Oryctolagus cuniculus: one gene and its partner. The protein of the gene in region 2 interacts with the protein of the main gene of each other region in a biochemical or structural test. Links are inferred from orthologs where the notes say so. Each region holds a gene or a part of one and is shown on either strand. Other genes may lie near its edges. The genes, in order: TNFSF8 and TNFRSF8.

Evidence for each region.
Region 1: the proteins of TNFRSF8 (region 2) and TNFSF8 form a complex in vitro, tested with the Homo sapiens proteins (2 studies listed by BioGRID and IntAct). The link is inferred for Oryctolagus cuniculus from reciprocal best matches to the Homo sapiens genes TNFRSF8 and TNFSF8.

Annotation. Positions count from the first base shown.
Region 1 is NC_091432.1:218,371,855-218,375,212, forward strand, and holds part of TNFSF8 (tumor necrosis factor ligand superfamily member 8), read right to left. Parts: intron 2,195-3,358; coding exon 1,806-2,194; 3' UTR 1-1,805.
Region 2 is NC_091438.1:156,379,673-156,383,485, forward strand, and holds part of TNFRSF8 (tumor necrosis factor receptor superfamily member 8), read right to left. Parts: intron 1,699-3,813; coding exon 1,457-1,698; 3' UTR 1-1,456. UniProt on the Homo sapiens protein: Receptor for TNFSF8/CD30L. May play a role in the regulation of cellular growth and transformation of activated lymphoblasts. Regulates gene expression through activation of NF-kappa-B.

The DNA of each region.
Region 1 (3,358 bases), on a different chromosome or scaffold from region 2:
CAGAGCTGGGAGTTGAGCCTAATACTCCAATGTGGGATGTAGTTGTTCTGACTGTATTTTTAACTGCTAGGCCAAATGCCTGTCCCTGCTGTTATTCTTTTAAATGACATGCCTCTTGTGCCCTTGCATGCTGGCTTTATGAACATTGCTTGATAGACACCAAGTTTAGGAACACTCCTAGTACAAAAGTGAGTCCCTCTGTTCAGAGAATGGTTGGTGAACAGTGAAAACAGCACCTTTCTCAAGTTAGAATACAAGATATTATTAGCACATCTGCAAAAGTTTACACACACTTAGGTTGTCTATACATTTTCCATAATGCAGGAGTTGGCTCAGGTATCTCATTTGTCTACACAGTTGGTGTGTTATTCAAATGCAGAAGTCCCCTTGCTCTCCAAGTTTGAGTCCTCCCTTTGGCCTGCTAACCAGTAGGCTTGCTGAATCAGCTTCTCTTTCAATGCCTGCTCTTCCCAAAGAATCTACTCTCAGGAAAAGATGAAGAGACACATAGACTTCACTGAATCTTTCAGAGAGGAGATCTAGGAGGAGCCTGATGTAGCATGTTGCTCAGCAAATGTCTTAAAAGTTTTCCCTTATCCATCTTTGCTTTGCCACATCCCTCTCATCCATACCACAACTGGTGGTTTTGCCTTTAAATCTTTGCCAGCATTTCTCTAACACTGCTGAATTTCTATTCTTTCTTCTTGATGAAAATGCAATTTTTGCTGCATTATTTGGAATAGCAGTCGAGAATTCGTCTTTTCCTTTTGATGCCTAACCTCAGGGGCTTACCCTTTAACTCGGATGCCTTGTCACTATCCTGCAGCAAATGAGGGGCTCCTGCCATGATGACACAGAGATGTCGAGTTGGATGCAGCTGGAGAAGACTCACAACTACTTTCTTGAGGAGAGGAGGCTGCTCTTGTTCATAAGTCCTTCTCATCATTCTCAGGGTCATCATTGTCTATCGACAGTTTTATGGGAACACAAAAGCCCTCCTCCACAGAACTGGTTTCCTAAGGGGTGTTGGAGGCAGCGAACAGAAATGCACCATTCAGGAGATGGCAACAGCTGTTCCCTGACTGACGGCATCACCTTGACCATGACACACAGATGGAATGCTTGCTGAATGCATGGCACTTTCCCGGCAGGAAGCAAAAGCTGTCTGCTGTTGACTTATTGTCATTCTTAACTGGCATGGGGTCAGATCTTGTCAGATGGTTTTCTAAATACCCACGTGAGGGTTAGCTTGTGTTGCAGATCCTGCAATTCCCACCATTATTCAGGGCACCCTGAATATATGCCCATGGTCTCATTCTGTCGAGTTGATAGGCAGCCAGATGCTCCTGGTACCATTGGTTTTATACTGGTATGGGTGCCTTCCTGTAGTTCAGTGCTTCTAGAACCCTGCCTTCAAGCTTAGCTTGATGAGATGGAGGAGACTTTGGAGAGATTCATACCCAGCCTCCCGTGGATCCTGAGTTCAAGTGAGAGAAAGGATTGGCTCAAGGTCATCCAGTGGATTAGTGGTTGGGCAGGCCATATAGCCATTCCCTCTGCTTCCCAGGTGGGGCTCTGTCTACCAACCACATTCCTTTCCTGCCTTCTATCTGAAAGATTCTTGACTCAAAACTCTTTTTAACCCTAGAGTTGTATCTTCCCAAGAGACAGAAGGAGAAATGTGCAATTTAACATGCAGTTTCAGAGTTTGTCTAAAAGTTTTGTTTGCCCAAGTATTTGGGTAGATGAAATACTGTATGGTAGAGAGTTGTTTTCTTCCTGAAGGCCAAGAGAACTGTTTGCTCTTAACTGCTATATAAGAAGATAGACAGCACATTTTCAAGAGGAAAGGTGTTGGTATCCACATACTGGAATTTGTCTACCATCACTGATATGGTGGCATTGACCTGCAAGTAATCCAACAAGAATTGAGAGAGATTCTGGTATATCTCTCTGGTTGGCAGTCCAGATTCACACACTGTCACCAGGGCTTCTCTTTTGACCTCTTTGTTGACGAGAAGCTCCAACTTCAGGTCCACTGAATGGTTTGAACATTGCACAAGAAACTGCAGTTGGCAAATGATGAAGTACCAACCTGGGAACTGGATCACCAGCTTCCCGTCATGGTATGTGACTCCATGGACAATGCCATCTTTGTTCCAAGACAACCTGGTGCTGTTGAGATGCTTGGACACTGGGAATATAAGAAAAATAATTATTGAGAAAATTGCAGGTTTAGGTTGAAAACCTCTTTTTATTCAAGGTGCCTCATTCTAGATCCATATTTCTTATAATGTGCCTATTCTTCAAACCAATTGAATTGCTTTCATATTAATCCTTTCAGGGTCTTCTATTATTTAAGGCATGGGTAGAAAATCACCTGTCTTTCTTTACTCTGATACTCAAAGCTAGAGGGTCACAGAACATGACTATATAGCTACCTCTTATAGAATGGCTTCCTACTTAAGTATTATCATAATATTATTGTGCTATTATTGTCAGTATTATCTTTCCTTTTACAGACTATAAGATCCTGAACTCTATGAGTATTTTTCACAAGGTCTGGACTATCATGTTCATTTATCATGAAGAAAATTTGGTGGGAAACTACTATTAAGTAGGCAATGCACAGAGCATCAGAGATAGCAAATTCAATATTGTGCAACTAAGAACCAAGTTAGACATCAAGGTGTTCAGAGGACTCTCCACTAACTTTCACATTACACTATTCTTGAACTGTTCTTGTGTGGATCTTTGAATGTAGCCTTTAACAACTGTGTAGGCCTCTCACGTACACATTAAGGGACTCCTGCCATCTGGGATTTATAGAAAAGCAGAGAATTGGACCCTGCAAATCTATGTGTGTGTGCTGGAAGCCAAGTCTCTGAGTCTTAGCAAATGAAAATTAGCACTGACTGGTAAGGGTGCCTTTCAGAGCTGGGAAACGGGTATGCTAGTTTTAATTGCTTCTATACTTTCTCTTTCAACCTTCTTGCAATTCATTTGAAGAGTGAGAACTAATCCAACTGCAAAATTGAATTTTTAAAATGAGCAGAGTTGCTATTCAGAGAATCTTGGCCATCTCCATATCTCATTCTTTTGCAGTGTTTCTTATTGTTTCATTTATAAGGAGCCTCTTACCTGAAGCATACTGAAGTATGCAAATAGGCCCTGTGCCAACATGTTCATTAAGCTGTCAATCTGGGGACAAGGCAATTTTGCAGTTCCCCTGTGAATAACTGCAGAGAGGCAGAGATTAAGAGCCTGCTTCTGTGGCACTAGGGGAAGGCGCTGTATGCTTGGCAGAAACTGGTAGGTAGTTGAATAGAGAGAAGTGTGGGAAGTAGGAGACACAGTT
Region 2 (3,813 bases):
GGGGGAAGACCTCATCCACTCCTCCCCCATGGGGGCACCTGAATAGACAGCGTCCGCCCCCCCCCCCCCCACTGGCCAGAGTCCAGGTCCCAGTACCACCACCTCTGGCCACGCCCCGCCCGGCCTCTCCAACTTTCCCCAAAACATCAGAGCGAGTTCAGAAACGGCCCTCGTGACGCCTGGCCCAGCCCCAACTTCCTGCAGAGAGCAAGCAGAGGTGAGTCACGGCGGCTTTCCCGGGCCTGGCCCGCGGGCAAGTCCAGGAGAACCCAGGCTGCCTGGACGCCCCGCCCCCGAGGCTGCAGATCTGGTTGTGGGCCTCCCATCTGTACTCGGGGGGGGGGGGGGGGGCTGCAGCCTGGAAGCCAAGGGCAGCCTTGCTCCTTAGCGTGAAATGCACAGTCCCAGAGTCCAGGCCGAGCCAGCGCGTGCAAGGTCCCGACGTGCACAAGGAGGCAGGACGAACGGCTGGGAGGCGGGTGCTGGCCAACAGCGCACCCCGAGGGCACCCAGCAGTGGCGGCAGACGGCGGGGCTGGTGCAGTGGATTTCAAGCGTAGCAGATGGAGGGAGATGCTTCTCCATTTCCGGGGCAGGGCAGATGGTACCCACAGAGCAGCCAGGGACCCCAGGAAGGGCCTGCAGTTCCCCATCTCGGTGGCAGGAGGAAGTCCCTGGCAAACGAGGCTGCCCCTTGTGAGCATGGCCAGCAGGCGGGGGCTCAGGGGCGGGGCCCTGCAGCTGCTGAGGGGCCGCAGACATCTGGATCCAAGATGCTTCCTGCTGCAGGGGTGGCTGCGGGGGTGGCTGGGGACATTCAGGGACCAGCGAGCTGAGCTGGGCCCACCATGGAGCAAGGAACAGGGAGAGCGGGCAGGAGCAGGGCTGGGGACCAGGCTGAGCCCAGATGGTGCCAGCAATGTTGCCCCATCCCGCAACTTCCCTTTGACTCGGGAGGAACCAGGGGCACTGGCTCTGTGCCTGCGGGGTCCACGTTTGCAGGGACGAGGGGCTGGTGGCAAGGCAGCAAGGCCACAGGAGAGGAGGGGGTGGAGGCAGGGAGTGAGCCGGCCTTCCCGACTCTCCCTCGGTGGGCACTGACTCTCGTGGCGAGTGTCTGGTGCCAAGGCTCTGGAATTGGTGCCCCCAGCAGCAGAGAAAGCAGGGGCCCTGTCTCGGCCATCGATCTGTGGCCCAGCAAAATCACCACTGGGAGCTAGCTCCCTGCAAGGGTCTCCTGTCCAGGCCCCAGCACCCTAGGCTCTGGCTGTACAGTCACCAAGTGGGAGACAGGAGCAGAGACCACCACCACCAGCACCCCTCCCGCACAGATCCACAGGACGCTAGAACCTCCGATCAGGCCACAGGGACTCCAGACCCCAGCTCGGTGTCGCCAGTGCCTCCCTGGCCTCCCGGGGACATCCAGCTGCCCTCTCAGGCCCAGCCCAGGGTGGGCCTCACTTTCCAGAGGCGCTGCTGGGCAGGGGGTCCTCCTTCCCTTCCTCCTCCACTGAGAACGTGACATCTCCACAGCTGCCCAGGGGAGGTTCTGTCTCCTGCTCCGGGTAGTGGGGAGCATGGTCCACCTCCAGCTCCTCCGACTGGGGCTCTGTGGGCCCTGCCACGCCCCAGCCCTCGGGCACCTCGGCCTTCACAGTCCCCACGATCACCGTGTCGGCCTTCATGATATAGATTTTCTCTGCAAGACAAAGAGATGGGCGAGATGGGGAGACCTGCACCCCCGGGAGGAGAGCAAAGAGGCAGAGAAGGGGCCGGGCCTCACTCCTGCCGTTCTCGCTGTGTGACTTCAGGCAGACGGCACAGCCTCTCTGGTGCATAGCGAGCCCCACTATCCTCCCAGGGCCCTGTGTGCTGAGGAGGTAACACCTGACCCACTTGGTACCCAAGAAGGTTGCCTGAGGTGTTCCTCACACTCCCAGGGTGGGGGGCCAGGAAGAAGGAGGAGAACGTGGCTCCGGAGAAGGCAACGGGGAAGGCGCGAGCATGCACCAGGCCCTTCCCACCCTGCCCCAAGCTTCCATGCTCCTGCAAGGCCAGGAGGCCACCGTTGTCCCCCTGGATGGTGAGACCCTAAGGCCACAGAGGCCCACTGACCTGGCTAAGGTCCCAGGCAGTCAGGAGAAACCCCGAGAGACCCCCACCCCATCCAGCCACCTCTTCTGCTCCAGTGGACAGCTGGAGTGGCCGCGCCATCCTGGCATCCTGTCCTGGGAGCCAGCTCAGCCCAGGCCACCCCAGCAGGGGGCACACAGCCTCGCTTTGGGCACACATCTCAGGGCTTTTGGCTGAAGCCCATCTCCCCCGGGGCTGCACGCCCGGCCTGCCATGCACAGTGGGTGCCGGTGGGTCTCCCTCCGCTCATCAGAGGTGCAGTTCCTTGTGGTCCCCACCACAGCCATCACGGGGGCTTCCAGGGCGGCCTTTTCTTCGAGGGGTCACAGGGACTCAGGGGAGTTAAGTGCCCAGGATCTGGGCAGTGGGGATGCCTGACCTTAGCCAGGTCAGCCGCCTCTGGCCCCCAGCACCCAGCTGCCACCAGGGGGAGAACCGGGGAGTGGCAGGCCAGGAGCTCAGGGACCCCTCCCTTGTGGGGTGCTCTGGTCACATCCTCAGATTCGGGGACCCCGCCCCTCGCCCTGTTGCACAATGCTGGCCCTTCTTCGGCTTGCAGCACCCCCAGGAAAGAGAGAAGTGTTCAGAATAGCAGTGAGAACTGGAGGGCAGGCTGGGGTGAGGGGAGGGGGCAAGCACGGGCCAGGTACCCTCTGCACCCCAAAACAGAGAGCAGCGGCTCGGGCCCCAGCCCACGGCCTCCATTGGGGCCTGAGGGCCCCTGGCTCTGGGGTCTCCACCAGAGGGGCTGGGTGAGAAATGGCACCCAGAGGTGGGGGGGGAGGGAGACAGGAGGTGAGACAGGACTCAGAGGACAAACCAGCAGAAGAGGGGAGCTGAGGGGCAGCGCAGCGGGCAGGGGCGCCAAGCAGGGGTGCGACTGGGCAGAAGCAGCCAAAGCAGGGGCCTCCGGCCTCGTCACCTCCGGCAGTCCTGCCCCTGCTGGCTCTGCCTCGGCCACAGGGCTGCCCGCCCTCTGGGAGCTTCCTGCCCTACCAGAGCTCCCAGATCCAGGGGAGCTGTGTCCTCCAGGGGTGAAGGAGGCCAAGAAGGGGCCCCATGGCCAGGTCTGCATTTGGTCCTCTTGGGGGCGCTCTTCTGGGGGTGATCAAGAGGACCAGGGGTCCCTGTGTCCTGGGGTCCAGAGGACCTGCAGGCCTCCCCTGCCCCCATGGCAGAGGGCATCCCCATCAGCACTGCCATCCCCAGTGAGGCTTGCGGGTCGGCTCGTGGGCAGCCTCAGACACGCGACTAAGACTCCTGGACCTCACCAAGCAGGGAGCTGGGGCCCGCTGGAGGGTTCCGAGTGGGGGCATGACACGTCTCACCTCCTGTCTCCCTTCCCCCCCACCTCTGGGTGCCATTTCTCACCCAGCCCCTCTGGTGGAGACCCCAGAGCCAGGGGCCCTCAGGCCCCATTGGAGGCCGTGGGCTGGGGCCCGAGCCGCTGCTCTCTGTTTTGGGGTGCAGAGGTACACTAGGGCGTGACGCGGACAGTGCAGGTACACTAGGGCGTGACGCGGACAGTGTGGGTTCATTTGGGAGTGACATGGACCATGTAGGTGCAATAGGGAGTGACACGGACTGTGTAGGTTCACTAGGGTGTGACGCGGACCGTGCAGGTACACTTGGGCATGACACGGACCACGTAGCTACACTTGGGAGAAAGCATCTGCTTGTA